Linked DNA regions of Saccharomyces cerevisiae S288C. Changing the gene in region 2 together with the main gene of any one other region gives a genetic interaction. Each region holds a gene or a part of one and is shown on either strand. Other genes may lie near its edges.

Region 1 (4,076 bases), on a different chromosome or scaffold from region 2:
TTTGCATTGGCCTTGTTGGTCTAGTGGTGTAGGCGCCCTTCAAAAGTTGCGTTTCTTGGGTGGGAGAAGTCCGAAAAATGCGTATCCGAGTGTACAACGGTTTTTTTTCAGGGACAATATGCCAAGGAATACCGTAAGCAACGGCTGCGCTAATACATCCATTAAAAATATCTCTCCTTGCTTAAGGTCTCACACCCAAAATGACAATGAGAGTGCTATTTTAGTTGTTCATCAATTTAGTATATACCAGCTCCCACAGGACGACGATTCTGACCCTTTCTATTTAAATAGCTCCTTACATCGAGAAGATCTCTGCAGCTAATCAAATCAATTAATATTTCAGATTTGTCGCGATTTTGAAATATATACTATAGGTTGTTATCTATCATATGCAATGTTCTGCACGTTATTTACTTCGATCTGATCTTAAATCAACTCTAAAAAAAGAAACCGATAAGTCCCTTTAACCAACCAAAGCCGAGGGAGTGACAACATGAAAGTGGGTTATTTACACGACATAATCATATTGTCGAATAATATCAGTCAAGCATCATGTGAGATCTAAGGGCCTAAAAGGAGAGCTTTGTAAATGGAGCAAAGCTCTTCGAGAGATTCTTGACTACCAACAACATTCTTTGTTGAAGCAACAACAATATTCATCCCCTTTACATTAGTCGAACAAACACCCAAGGAAAATGCTTGGTGCCAGGATCCTTGAAATTGGCCAAATGCCAAATCGCATATAGAATATTTGGCATCGGGCTCCTCTAACTGATTAAACAGACCTACATTGCTTAACAATGTACCTCCGCGTCTTTTCCCGATGGCACGATCGCACATTACCTTGTCAATGTTCACATATTTTTGAACGAAGCCTTGTATATTGAACCCTAAGCCATGGAGATGCTTTTTATTTCTTAAAGCTTCCGAAATTACTTCATGGTAGTGCTCAATAAGTGGCCAAAAATTTTCTTTGTTATCATTCATGTCAAATTCGCTTATCCAGGGGGTGAAGTCAATAAATCCAACGTTAGCGCCATATCTGTACATCTGTCTCATTTCATCATCATCTGGTAGTTGTGAGCGGCAATCTGCGGGGATAAAAATATCCGTAAGCCATTCGAAGTTCAATGGTTTGAAAAATTTACCCCATTTATGAAGAGATACAAACCAACAAACATGTAAAAACGGAGTGATAGTACACTTACCTTGGATATTTGATTTAATATTTGCTTTAATCGCTTGAAATTCTGTTGGTGAAATATTGATGATCTCGGTGACAACATCATCGGTTTTTTCCACATCATCCATTCTCATACAGACACCTTTTGAAGAAAATCTCAAATGATTGTAGATGAAACCCGAAAGAAGTGACTTCGGAATAAACAAGTACGGTGGTCTAAAGTCTATCACCTTTTCGATCGGTTCTGGAAGTTTCCTCAATAATTGGTAATCCTCCTCGTACTTGAAAATGTAATCTAATTTTTTTGGTGGAGTTTTAATATTATTTAATTCGTCTCTTAAATCATGAAAAAAGTGGATCGAAGACCGACCATCAGACATGCAATGATTAGATACAAAGATAAATTTTTTCCACTTTTCTGTGTGCTCTTCTGGAAGACAAATTAGCCGCCAACTCGGTCCTGTTGGTCCAAAGTAAGGAATAGTCAAAGTGGTAGTAAGTTTAAAAATTTTTGCAGTATAGGAACCCTTACTATTTTTGAATTCTTCTAATATTTGCTTCATTACTGCACTGTACTCAGGTTGTTCATTGAGAACCACACCACTCAGTTTCAATTCTTGTAATACTGAAATATAATCATGCACTGGATGTGGCCGTGAATAGTATTCGGAACTGCGATAATAATTTTCATGATTTGGCCATCTTGTTGGTAGAACAATATGTAAAAGAGTTGGATTTTTCAGGCAGATTTCCCTCAAAGCTAATGTGAGCTGATCCCTAGTACAGTAATCACTCAATTCTCCATATGTGCAGAAGTTTCGATATAAGTTTTGTCTGTTGAGAGCAACATACAGATCTTCAACAGATCCCATACGCCGAGCATGCCCATTCTGAATCATCTCTTTCAGGCATTCTTGTTGCACGGGGGCCTGATTTTTCTCATCGATTTCATTCATGAGAGCTGATAAATTGATGGTATTTGTGATACTGATGAAGTGCCGTTTTTTATTTTCTTGTCTCGAATTTTTGTTGGGTTGGCTTCAAAAAGACGCTTCCAGAGATCCATAAAAAACAATAGGATTATATTCAGAGTCCGCTCAACGCGATGACAATACCAGGCCAAAAAATGATGTGCGGCAAAAAATATAAAAACCGTAAATCGCAAGCCAATGAGTAGTCCTCACACGCTAGATCTATATATTCGGAAGTGAGAAGACCATCGAGTGCATTGAACCTTAGCTCAATGTCCAAAAAGTCAATTCTAAGGGTGGAATAGTCCTGTGCCAACAAATGAAGCTACAATTTTCTGCTGCCTGGGTCCATAAACCCTAACCTTACTTCTTTGCATTTCTTCGGTTTGCACGTGATCTCAATTGATAATTCCCAATTCTGATTTTACTTGTCAAGTACAAGTACTCTAACATAAGCTTACCACTTCTTAATTATCCGGGTGTCAGTTTATTTTATAAACACGGTAATATTTTGATAATCTTTGGCAACTTTTAGGAAATACTCCTTTACCTATATACATCGCGACCAAAATTAGCAATCTTTTACGATGAGTACCTCAGAAAATACTGTTGAATTCTTTCAAGGGGTAGCAAAACTGTCCAGAGCTTATATCTACCTGTGCTCAAAATACAGTTGAAACCACCTCTTCCTACAGTGGTATAACATATGAGAGAATAAGCTATTAACGGTTGGTCGTTAACACCTCAAAATTGTATATTCCTGTAGTTCACTGTCAGTAAACTGAGATTGTTTATTTGTGCCATTATACCAAATTTAGCACCCTATGTGGCAATTTTTCAGATTTGCCACGCTTTTGCTCTACTTAAATGGAATGCAACAACAAAACTTTGTTTTAGCATCGCGGGATTGAGGATGAAGAGAATACTTATGCATCTCGTCTTGAAATACTGTCGCCCAAACTTCTAAATACGCTTGATTATACCATAAAATTGTCCACCCAAGATGGAATGTCATTACAGGAATATTTATGGCTGTCCTCCTTATCTTCACATTTGAAGGGAGAAATAGAGGGGCGAAAAGAGAAACTATTCGCCGGAAACTTAACGGTAATATTATAGATGTGGGGCTTGCAGTTACCTTTTAGCACCCAACTATAAGTGTATCACACCATTATTAATGAGAAAGTCTTAACATTCCAGGAGGTACAAAATATGACAATCCTAGAAACTCTGTTTGCAGTGCAATGAGTCCAAATTTTTTTTTAACTAAGAGGATGCCTCCTTCGCAAACTGTATAGTTTTCCATTTTCTTCTGCCATTTCATCTTTGGAGTAACTATTATTTCGCCCCTTTTGTTTGCTGCATATCGCCCCGCTCTCTGCATACACGATTGGATAATGACCAAAGCAAGGTTTAATACGCCCACAGTTAGATATCTATAATTTTAGAGTACGATATTCATCATCATAGGCTGAACCTTGCCTTTCCTTGCATTCTTTATTCCCATTGAGGTATATTTTAAAATTTGTTCGGAGGTAAAGAAGGATAAGCTTTTCTAGTAATTTCCCTCCTCGATCGGCCTCAGATTTCCCGTCATAAAATATACGCGCCATGGAGAGATTTAATGACATAGATGTGCCGCAAAAGCATACACAGCGTATTTTCTTTGAGTATTTAATAGGTAAGCTAAGTTTCGTAGCTCGTTAGTAATATTACTCTATGGATTCTGTGCCACTTCTTCAAACAGGGCGCGAAAACCTTGAAGAAGCAGCGCACTTGATGCCCCTAGTGAGAGTCACGTGACGGTTATCCCATTTAAGGTATTCCTGTTGCGACCCCTCTCACACAGATATATCTTGCGGCTAGAGATAGGTTGTGATTAGGAATAGATCTGTAGATGTCTAGAGGAACGGCTAATGATT
Region 2 (4,201 bases):
GGAGAAATAGCGTTATGGCCGATTGTGAGAACATTTAAGAAATTTCAATCCATAACAATAAAGTGGCAGTGTCACCTAAAATATTAGTACCAACTTGCCCAATTGGCAGAAGGAAAATAAGGATATCAGGCCACCGACTTGGTACTATTTTTTTATGGTAAATGTGTACTTTTACTAAGCTTAATTTGAAACAGACGTCATATGAATGTTTCTGGGGCTACTTGTTACAATTCTCGGTCCGCAACAACTGAACTCTGTACTGTTCTGTCTCAATGCTTGGTTTCTTGAATGGAATTTCACTCCACCCTTCGGAACGTTACAAAATTTATACATTTTAAAAATTATTCATGAGAGAAAGATGCTATAGTAATCTGTTCACCCTGTCAACTCGTGTAGCTCATGTTTATCATATAATTTCTAGTTCTATAAGGCATAACAAATAGTCCGTTAAGGATTAAGGCGTAAAAAAGTAAATATTGTATATAATAAATAATTAAGTTCATGTATTTTTTTCCAGTTACTAAAAACCGGAAGATTAGCTGGAAAAGAACCTCTTGTAGATTGGTCTATCGTCATGGTCTATGGCGTCAGCATCGTAATCTGCGGTTCTTCTTTCTGGTGGCACCCATGAGGCTGATTTCCATGCTGGCACACCTTCCAGCCACATAGTATTCACCTCCTCCAGCGTCAGGCCTTTTGTTTCTGGGACAAAGAAAAAGACATAAAAGTATGCAAAAACCAGACAGCCTAAGAATACATAACCGTAGTAAAAGTTGATTGCCCCGGTAATGAATGGGGTAAAGAAACTAATCAGGAAACCCCACATCCAGTTTGCAGCTGTTGCGATTGCCATTCCTCTTGATTTGACCCTAAGAGGAAACGTCTCTGAGACAATAACGTAACAGCCGCCTGCCCAAGTGGTGGCGAACGAAAAAATGAAGAACATAGTAAACACAATCATACAGTTACCGGCGCCCTGAGAAGTAATGTCTTGGTGACTGCTTCCTTGAGGCCACAACTTTGTCACACCGACGGAGGCAAACACAGCAAAGCAGCATAGCATAGAAGCAGCACCCCACAATAGACACGTACGGCGTCCAAACCTCTCAATGGTGTATACCGCTATGAATGAAGAGAAAAAATTAACCACACCGATAATGATCGAAGTCTGAAAGGAGTCCTTTAGACCGACAGATTTGAAGATGGTGGTGCCGTAGTAAAAGAAGTAGTTATCACCGGTTAATTGCTGCAGCGATTGGATCATCACTCCCATGAGAACACGCTGAAAGACCTTTGTTTTAGTGGAGAGTAGTTCAGACCATGATGCGTTACCTGCCAGCTTTTCAAGTTCGATTCCCGCCTTTATAGTGTCATATTCTGCTAACAAGGCTGGATCGTCGACTGAGACTTTGTTGGATTTCGAAAGTGAACGTTTCGCTTCCTCATCTTTACCAACCTCAATCAGGTAACGTGGTGATTCTGGTACAAACATCATTCCACTAACCATGAATGTAGTCCAGGCAAAGCAAAGACCAAGGCCGACTCTCCATTGAGTGGCGTTGTGATAGTTCTTGGTACCGTAATTGGTACAGTATCCTAGAAAAATACCCATCGTACACATCAGCTGGTACAATTGGACCAGGGTTCCTCTGATTTGTTTGGGAGCAACTTCAGATATCAACATTGGGGAAAGGACAGCAATGCCTCCCACTCCTAGGCCAGAAATAATTCTTCCAATGAAGTATTGGTACCACTTGTTTATGGAAGTTATTTGGATTAGGATGCCTACAACGTAAATGGCAGTAACTGTAATCAATCCAATACGACGACCATATATATCACCGACTTTTGACAAGACAATTCCGCCTATGGCGCAGCCAATGTTGAATATTGAGACGATCAAACCCATTCTTACTTTCGATAAGTAGTAGGTTCCCTTGTCATTTTTTTGACCGAACCTTCTGATGAAATCAGAAAGGTTAACAAAACCAGAAATGGTACCGGTATCCCAACCAAAGATGAAGCCGCCAAATGCAATCATCAAACACAGGATTGCGACGGTGGTATATGCAGAGAGGGGTTTTTGAGGTAAGTCAATAGGTGGTTCAGTGGCATCCAGGTTGAGGGAGTTTTTAGAGTCATTATGCTCAGTTTTTACAGATGGTGCATTTGCTACTGAGTTAGAGTTAGACTCGGTAGTGGATAAATCATTTGCGGATGTATTATTAACACCGGACATGATATTGGGTAAGATACGAAAGCTTTTAGTACTCAATTGTGCAATGATTATTTTTTCCAACTCATACCAAAAAAAGAAGAAGAAAAAGATAGGAACAACAGTGTTCTTTAGTTACACAGCTGTGACATTATATACCTTTATTTAGCGAAAAAGAGGAACTGAGAAAGATGAGCCTAGACCTTAAGAGCTAAGTAGTATAGGGTGTGTCGAACTGCTACTGATACTTTGAACGAAGGTGTCCGAGTGTATGCATTGCTCGTGTGGTCAGCATTTTTATTGTGGAGGAGGCGGATTCATCTACAATTTCCGACGCCTGATTTTCCACGGATATAATTTATTTTTTGACACCTGGAGTTTACATTTCACAAAATTTCTTTCTTTTTAGTTTTGCACTGATTTCCCCTGAAATAAAGAAAAAAGAAAAAGAAGGTTTTGTGAAGTGTCAGGGAAATGCACGAGAAAAGCACTTATAACTCGCACGGAGAAATGATTATGTAATTTTCCCGGAGAAATGATTATGTAATTCCGCGGAGAAATGGTTATGTAATTGTTGCGGGGATCGAGGGTTGTTTACGCTCCGTATTTTGTCTTAGGGCTATGTATACGCAAGGCTGCGGAGGCAATGCAATAATGGGGTCTGCTTGCAGATGGTATAATCTGCTATAACGGGCCAAGTGACAGGCACGCTGTTGCAGAACATACCATCTTATATCATGTAGGTTGTGCAAACATTACCTAAAACTGAAAGCTTCGTTTACATACAGCACTCCTTCCAGATCCTAAATTTACTTTGTTCTTTTCTTATTTTCGATCATTCGTAAGACGTCCACAGACATATATAAGTAAGGAAGACTTCTTCACTCGAGGAATTAGCTGTACTAGAATATATGTTCCATTCACCAATCCAAACACACAAACAAAAGTGAAAGTTTTTTCATAGAGATAAGAAAGCAACGTACAATGACTATTTCTTCTGCACATCCAGAAACAGAACCCAAGTGGTGGAAAGAGGCCACAATTTATCAAATTTATCCCGCAAGTTTCAAAGACTCCAACAACGATGGTTGGGGTGATATGAAGGGTATTGCCTCCAAGTTGGAGTACATCAAAGAGCTTGGTACCGATGCCATTTGGATCTCGCCATTTTACGACTCGCCACAAGATGATATGGGTTACGATATTGCCAACTACGAAAAGGTCTGGCCAACCTACGGTACGAACGAGGACTGCTTTGCCTTGATCGAAAAGACACATAAGCTTGGTATGAAATTTATCACCGACTTAGTCATCAACCATTGCTCCAGCGAACATGAATGGTTCAAAGAGAGCAGATCCTCAAAAACCAATCCAAAACGTGACTGGTTCTTCTGGAGACCTCCTAAGGGTTATGACGCCGAAGGCAAGCCAATTCCTCCAAACAATTGGAGGTCTTACTTCGGTGGTTCTGCATGGACGTTCGATGAAAAGACACAAGAGTTTTACTTGCGTTTGTTTTGCTCCACCCAACCTGATCTAAACTGGGAGAACGAAGACTGCAGAAAGGCAATCTACGAAAGTGCCGTTGGATACTGGTTAGACCATGGTGTAGACGGCTTTAGAATTGATGTGGGAAGCTTGTACTCCAAGGTTGCTGGTCTACCAGACGCTCCTGTGATTGACGAAAACTCAAAGTGGCAACTCAGTGATCCTTTCACAATGAACGGACCACGTATCCATGAGTTTCATCAAGAAATGAACAAGTTCATCAGAAACAGAGTGAAGGATGGCAGAGAAATTATGACAGTTGGTGAAATGCGACATGCTACTGATGAGACCAAGAGGTTGTATACAAGTGCGTCAAGACACGAACTTAGTGAGTTATTCAACTTTTCCCACACTGATGTCGGGACTTCGCCCAAGTTCCGTCAAAATTTGATACCATATGAACTAAAGGATTGGAAGGTTGCCCTTGCTGAACTTTTC
Region 3 (4,450 bases), on a different chromosome or scaffold from region 2:
GATACAACGAGTCCCTAAGCAGATCTCCCAAGGGAAACTCTATTATTGAGGAGATATAATGGGTGATAATACATACTCCCCATCTTTCATTTTTACGGCATTAAATAACTAATTATATGCATCTTATATACTACTATAATTCACTGACTTTATGAAAGGAATATAAATCGGCACGGCAGAAGGCGGATTTATTTTGTTACAATATAACAAAATAAAAGGGCAACAGTAAAGTAGAAATTATTAGTATCCGTGATTTTAGTACAATTATTTGCTTCCTAGAAATCCGGTTTTCCATGTTAACATTTATGCTAGTATTTTATGGTGGAATGGCAAGTGATTCACAAAATACAAGCTACTTTATCGAATGATTGAAATTCATTTCTGCTTGAATAGAATTCAACTATCGTTTATCGATTCTATTTTGAGGATTCCTATACCCTCGAGGAGAACTTCTAGTATATTCTATATACCTAATATTACTACTGTTATTAACAATGGAATCCCAACAATTATCTCAAAATTCACCAATATCTCAATTCCATCTTTAGAAAAATTAAGTTCAAATTAACGGAAACAGTAATCAAGTAAAAGAGCTTTTTTTTTCTTCTCCCCTTCCTGCCCTGAAGATAATTGAGTAAATGTTACGTTGAGAATGGCTTTTTGATATTTCATTAGATTTACTTCATTATTCTTCTCTATTCTCCCCTTTCATCAATTAATTGGGCGTGTGGCGTAGTCGGTAGCGCGCTCCCTTAGCATGGGAGAGGTCTCCGGTTCGATTCCGGACTCGTCCAAATTTTTTTACTTTTAATGAGGTATACTGGAATATTACGGCTCTTTTTTTTTAGAAACATATTCCTCAAATGGGTAAACGGACCCTGGTGCAAGGTGTGGGTGCTGAGACAAATACGATCTGAGTTGTTTTAAAAAGGAAAACAAATGAATGCGTGCCCAAAGCGGAAAATTGGTCAACATCGATGCGTAATTAGTAGGCCCAGGTGAGCCTGTGCCGAACATGTATCTCTGCGCAGATTACTATATATTCCCGAGCATAACAGCATATAGTTTTCTTTCACATAGGCCTTCCTCCAACTGCCATCACTGTACATAGACGTTTCGGCACTGTATATTCTTGTCCCTTTTTTTTTGCCTACTACATTGCTGCATTCAAACGATATCGCTCTGCGAACCGTTTAAAACTGACCAAAATAGGGAGACCTACCTTCTAAGGAGAAAAAATTCGCATTGCTAAAAAAAAGCTAAAAGAGAAAGAGAAGAAGAATATTAAACCAGTATATTCTACTACAACTATCGATTTACTCCGACTACAAAGTGCCTCTTCGTATTTTCAGTCGCTCGAAAAAACAACCCATATTCCATTTGATTCTACGCAGCTGGTAGAAACTTTTACAGGTTTGATAAAATTATTACAATCGTTAGCGGTTACGCAAGGAATAGGAAATAAAGAAACGGTAAATAATAAGAAAAACACAGCAGATCTAAGCCTATTGCACACAGTATATTATAACCATTACTAGCTAGTGTTACATAAACAATAGCAGAATATGTCTGTGCGAAACCTCACCAATAATCGTCATTCCAACAGCGAAAATAGTGTTTCCGGAAGCGAAAACTCCTTTTATTCCTCGAATGAGCAATCAAGACAAAGCTCATCATTAGAACCTGCAGATGGTCAGAACGTTAGGGTGAGCGGTAATCCTTTCCTTGGAAGTGAAGAATTTGACGAAGATTATAATTCACCCAGTGGAGACGATGAGCGGCGTGGGGCAAATGAATATTCCAGTTCTTCATCCATAAATTATAATAACGATCCTAACAGCGATACTTCTCTTCTGGCTAATGAAAAGAACTCACCCGAGAGAAATGGTCAAAGAATGTCAGACTATAAGGGCTATTATGCTAAGACTAACCTAACTTCTGCTAATAACTTAAACAATCATAATAACAATAATTATAAGAACATTATAAGCAGTAGTAACGATAATAGTTTTGCATCACATTTACAGCCGCCGGACAGAAACTTACCGTCTCATCCTTCTTCAAATAATATGAGTAGCTTTTCTAACAACAGCTTAATTAAGTCTCCACCACCTTTTGACAGATATCCGCTAGTAGGAACGAGGCATATTTCAGCGGCTCAATCTCAGTCGCAGAACCTTATAAATGAAAAGAAAAGAGCGAATATGACTGGCTCATCTTCTTCTGCTCACGACTCTTCATTATCATCCACCAACTTATACATGGGCGAACAGGATTTTTCGCCCTTTGGCGGTTATCCAGCTTCCTTCTTTCCGTTAACGTTGGACGAAAAGGAAGACGATGACTACATTCATAATCCAAATGTCGAGGAAGAAGCAAAGTTAGATAGAAGGAGGTTCGTTGACGACTTCAAACACATGGATAGAAGATCTTTCTTGGGGCTTCTGGGTATTCTATTTTTATTTATGGCTGGTATATTTATTTTCATTGTATTACCTGCAATTACATTTTCCGGGGTAGTTTATCATCATGAACATGTTCATGCGGCAAATTCAGCAGGATCGTCGTCTTCTAATACTACATCCAAGTCATTGACTGAATATCAATATCCTCAACTTGCGGCTATAAGGACAACTTTAGTTGATCCAGACACACCTGACAGTGCGAAGACAAGAGTAGCGAAAGATGGATCTAAATGGCAGCTGGTGTTTTCCGATGAATTTAATGCTGAAGGTAGGACCTTTTACGATGGCGATGACCAGTTTTGGACAGCTCCTGACATCCACTACGACGCTACGAAAGATCTTGAATGGTACTCACCAGATGCCGTTACAACTACAAATGGTACCTTGACGTTGAGAATGGATGCATTCAGAAACCATGACCTTTATTACAGATCTGGTATGGTACAGAGCTGGAACAAACTCTGCTTTACAGAAGGTGCGTTAGAAGTTTCCGCGAACCTCCCTAATTATGGTCGAGTTACAGGATTATGGCCTGGTATGTGGACCATGGGGAACTTGGGCAGACCAGGTTATTTGGCGAGTACTCAAGGTGTTTGGCCTTATTCATATGAAGCATGTGACGCTGGTATAACACCAAACCAAAGTTCCCCAGATGGTATTTCTTACTTGCCGGGACAAAAGTTGAGTGTTTGTACTTGTGATAATGAGGATCATCCAAATCAGGGAGTTGGAAGAGGCGCACCGGAAATAGATATTTTAGAAGGTGAAGCTGATACAATTTTGGGTGTTGGTGTTGCGTCACAATCTCTACAAATTGCTCCATTTGATATATGGTACATGCCCGATTATGACTTCATCGAAGTTTATAATTTCACCACAACAACTATGAATACTTACGCTGGTGGGCCTTTTCAACAAGCTGTCTCAGCAATATCCACTTTAAATGTAACATGGTATGAATTTGGGGAGGAAGCAGGTTATTTTCAAAAGTATGCCATTGAATATCTCAATGATGACGACAACGGATATATTCGTTGGTTTGTGGGAGAGAACCCTACTTTCACACTATATGCTACTTCTTTACATCCTAGTGGTAATATTGACTGGAGGAGAATAAGTAAGGAGCCAATGTCAGCGATTTTAAACTTAGGTATTTCCAACAACTGGGCCTATATCGACTGGCAATATATATTTTTCCCGGTGACAATGTCAATAGATTACGTCCGATTATACCAGCCGAAGGGTTCTACGTCCATTACTTGTGATCCTGAGGACTACCCGACATATGATTATATCCAAAGCCATCTAAATGCATATTATAACGCCAATTTAACTGATTGGGAACAGGCTGGATATACTTTCCCAAAAAATATTCTAACAGGAGGTTGTAGTAGTTCAAAATTCTCATTATCCTGAGGTTGATTTTTTTTTTTCAACTGGTTAAAACCTACTATCTAAGTGCGCTTTAATTCTAAGGAGGCAAAATAGTCTGCGGTCACAGTCGTTGAAAGTTCTAGATTTGGGTACGGAAGCAGCCATGTAAATGGTCTTCCTTTGTAATAATATCATCACTGGAGTTTTTAAATTAGAGTACGGATTCAAGTTAGCGAAAAATTTCTGTTGGTATCTGATAGCAATTTGTCGACAAGGTGGAGAGTTTTTGAAGTTTTTTTTTGTAACAGTTATGTTACACTATTTACCAGAGAAACACCAAGACAGGAGCCCTCAGAAGCTTTCGTGTTGTCAGAACATAAATATCTTCTATATGTTTTAATCTTTTATATTAATCAATATTTTATGTTAAATCATATTATTATTCGTTAATGGTTAACTTGCGCTATTTCAAAATTGGAAGGATAGTGTGGTTACAAGCGGTGTTTTTGATGTATGTTTACTGCTAAGAGTATACCGTCCTGTTTACTTTTTTACCTTTTGTTCCGTTATTGATTTTTCGCAGCAAGGTTGAAGCTTCAAATTTGAAAATG
Region 4 (2,725 bases), 650 kb from region 2:
ACACATCAATACCATACAGAAGAGCTAGCGTCCAGCTATCGAATTCTAACGGCCACATAAGCGCTCATCTGGTGAACAAGTTAAGTACGGAGTTAAAAAGATTGGAAGGTGAATTATCAGCATCAAAGGAATTATACGATAATTTACTGAAAGAAAAGACAAAAGCAAATGATGAGATTTTAAGACTTCTGGAAGAAAACGATAAATTCAATGAGGTAAATAAACAGAAAGATGATCTCTTAAAAAGAGTTGAGCAGATGCAAAGTAAATTGGAAACCTCCTTACAACTATTAGGTGAAAAGACTGAACAAGTGGAGGAATTAGAAAATGATGTGTCCGATTTAAAAGAGATGATGCATCAACAAGTTCAACAAATGGTAGAAATGCAAGGAAAAATGAGATAACTAGAAATACACTCTTATCTTTAGATTTAGGTTAAATATGAAATAATTACCAATGATAACTATATGTATCTATATACATGCAACCCCATCGCAACATACTGTTTGTCATCAGTCATGACCTTGAGCCTTAGCGAGCATGGTATGTTCTTCGATATCTTCAGCGTCCCATGGATAGCACAACCACTTATCAGGGACAGTTTGCGCAGCAATGTAACGTCCAGAATTCATCATGGAGTCAGGTAGTCCAGCTCTCTTTGGTTTGTCCTTATTATGTAGAACAAAGATAGAAATAACGGTTTCCTCACTCATTCTATTCAAAACCTTTTGTTGTTCAGCAATCTCTTTTTCCAGCTCAGAAACAGCATAGTGGAGGGTAGTTCTAGTATCGTCAACTTCATCCACAATTAGGACCTTTTTACCAATTAAGGAATCGAAATGTTGGTTCAAAGCACCGAAGTCCAGCCATTGTGTTCTGATGACCTCTTTGCCGATAGTTTCGACGCTATTATCCAACCCTAAATCTTCATACAAAGATAGGCCGATGGCCTGAATCGGAATATTCTTTTGTCCTTTAGTTTTCAAAAAGGACCTAATAATTCTTGCGGGGATCATACCACCACCAGTGATGGCGATAATAATATCAGGTCTTTCGTTTCTAGCTAAGATATGTTTAGCCACTCCCTGACAAAGCTTGTGAATATTATTATAGGAGATGTACATTCTCTCATTTTCGGCCATCTTGGTACAAGTATATTTTGAAGTGATCAATGTTTATGAAATCTAGTACAAGGATGGGCTATGCAAAAGAAAGACTGACAAAACTCAGATATTTTTCTTTCCGATTTAACTACGATTCTTTCCCCAGCTTAGAGATAAAAAAAGCTTGTGATTTTTTTAGGTTCATCGCATTGACTCCAGATAAAAAAAAAAGATCTTGATATCAAATCAAAGTCAACTGGCCGAGGCAAAGGCAACAAACTTTGAGCATAATATCCTCTCTCTTCTATCTAAATTATGTAATCCAGTGTTTGTTTCAATATACAATCGCCATTTAATTCAATTAGGCATTCATAATTCCCATGAATAGTTCTTGATCAGCCGGGGTCAGATGTCTCAAGATTCCCTGATATCTATTGCTGTCAACATGTTGTAAGTTCGCAATGGACTCCTTGAAAACCTTGTATACGTCAACTGTGTCCAGGATCGACCCCGTTAATGGGTCCTCTTCTAGGTCATCGAAAGTTTCCTTTGCGTCATAACCATCTACGAAGTCCAAGGAATCGGCTCTATTTTTTATCAGTTCCAGATATTTCTCAGTAAGGTCTCCCTCGTCATCATTTTCATCATCGTCTCCAACGTCAAGAAAATTTTCATCCCACTTAGTATCCTCTTCAAAACCGGATGATGAGAATTCCTTGCGTTGGTTAGCTAATTGCCTTAACGCCGTTGGTAGCCTCGAAGCTAACTGCGTAACAATACTCCCTAATTGCGGAACCAAATTTTCTAAGTTCAACACTGAATAATCGTTGCTTTCTAACTTCAGTATAATTTTTAATAACGCAAGAACTGATAATTTGATATCATAGCACCTTTTATAATTCGGAATATAGTCTGTAATCCACGTTTGAAAGAAGATTTCAAGACAACCTTGCTGTTTCAGGTACTGAAGCGTGATCAAAGGCTCTGTTATCATATTTGAGATTACGACATTAAAAGCAGTCACACTAAATACAACATTAGTTTTCAATTCATTCTTTTGCGTTAGAATAGAGCCGACAACATCCGCCAGTAGGCGCTCTCTGTATTGTTGAGGTAAACTGTCATCTAATGCAAGAACCAACTCTTGGGATAAATCAAAAACCACTCTAAGATCGTCTAACGAATTATCTTCTGCAGTAACAGCCTTTTGATATATTTCGAATATGATTTTTGTGTAAAACTCGTTCTTCTTTAATTCGTTCCTTCCATAAATGAGGATATTATTTAAGGCTAGCATGAAATCACTTAAATAATAAGATACCATACTATCTGGTTTTCTATTACATTCTCCAATCAGCTCCAAAATTTTCCAGCTGATGGGTGTGATATCTCTTAGTAGGAATGTAGAGTTCTCTACAAATTCGCAACATTCGCGATAGAAATCTTCGATGTCGTTTTTCAAAATAAACTCTGCAGCTGGATAAAATGACTGTTCCAAGTTTTTTAAAATTTCAGGTGAATTCTCAAAAGACAACAGAATAGATATCGTAGTCGACAAAATACCTAGCGCCGCCATTTGCTTGTCAGATTCATCGGGTATGCTATCAACGTTCGTGAAGGAA

What was found.
Region 1: mutations in HXT9 (region 2) and ATF1 together harm fitness more than expected from each alone (negative genetic interaction), as found in Saccharomyces cerevisiae (one large-scale study listed by BioGRID).
Region 3: mutations in HXT9 (region 2) and SKN1 together harm fitness more than expected from each alone (negative genetic interaction), as found in Saccharomyces cerevisiae (one large-scale study listed by BioGRID).
Region 4: mutations in HXT9 (region 2) and XPT1 together harm fitness more than expected from each alone (negative genetic interaction), as found in Saccharomyces cerevisiae (one large-scale study listed by BioGRID).

What each region holds. Positions count from the first base shown.
Region 1 is NC_001147.6:1,044,289-1,048,364, reverse strand, and holds ATF1 (alcohol O-acetyltransferase), read right to left. Parts: upstream 2,140-4,076; coding exon 562-2,139; downstream 1-561. Other genes in the region: YOR376W-A (uncharacterized protein), read right to left, coding at 3,014-3,169. UniProt on the Saccharomyces cerevisiae protein: Major alcohol O-acetyltransferase that uses acetyl-CoA to synthesize acetate esters from various alcohols, producing ethyl acetate, isoamyl acetate, isobutyl acetate, butyl acetate, hexyl acetate, heptyl acetate and octyl acetate.
Region 2 is NC_001142.9:17,535-21,735, reverse strand, and holds HXT9 (hexose transporter HXT9), read right to left. Parts: upstream 2,240-4,201; coding exon 536-2,239; downstream 1-535. Other genes in the region: oligo-1,6-glucosidase IMA4, read left to right, coding at 3,200-4,201. UniProt on the Saccharomyces cerevisiae protein: Probable glucose transporter.
Region 3 is NC_001139.9:773,628-778,077, forward strand, and holds SKN1 (beta-glucan synthesis-associated protein SKN1), read left to right. Parts: upstream 1-1,565; coding exon 1,566-3,881; downstream 3,882-4,450. Other genes in the region: BTN2 (Btn2p), read left to right, coding at 1-59. UniProt on the Saccharomyces cerevisiae protein: Required for synthesis of the major beta-glucans of the yeast cell wall.
Region 4 is NC_001142.9:671,408-674,132, reverse strand, and holds XPT1 (xanthine phosphoribosyltransferase), read right to left. Parts: upstream 1,143-2,725; coding exon 513-1,142; downstream 1-512. Other genes in the region: SGM1 (Sgm1p), read left to right, coding at 1-404; NMD5 (Nmd5p), read right to left, coding at 1,465-2,725. UniProt on the Saccharomyces cerevisiae protein: May act as a xanthine phosphoribosyltransferase involved in the synthesis of purine nucleotides. Such activity is however unclear in vivo.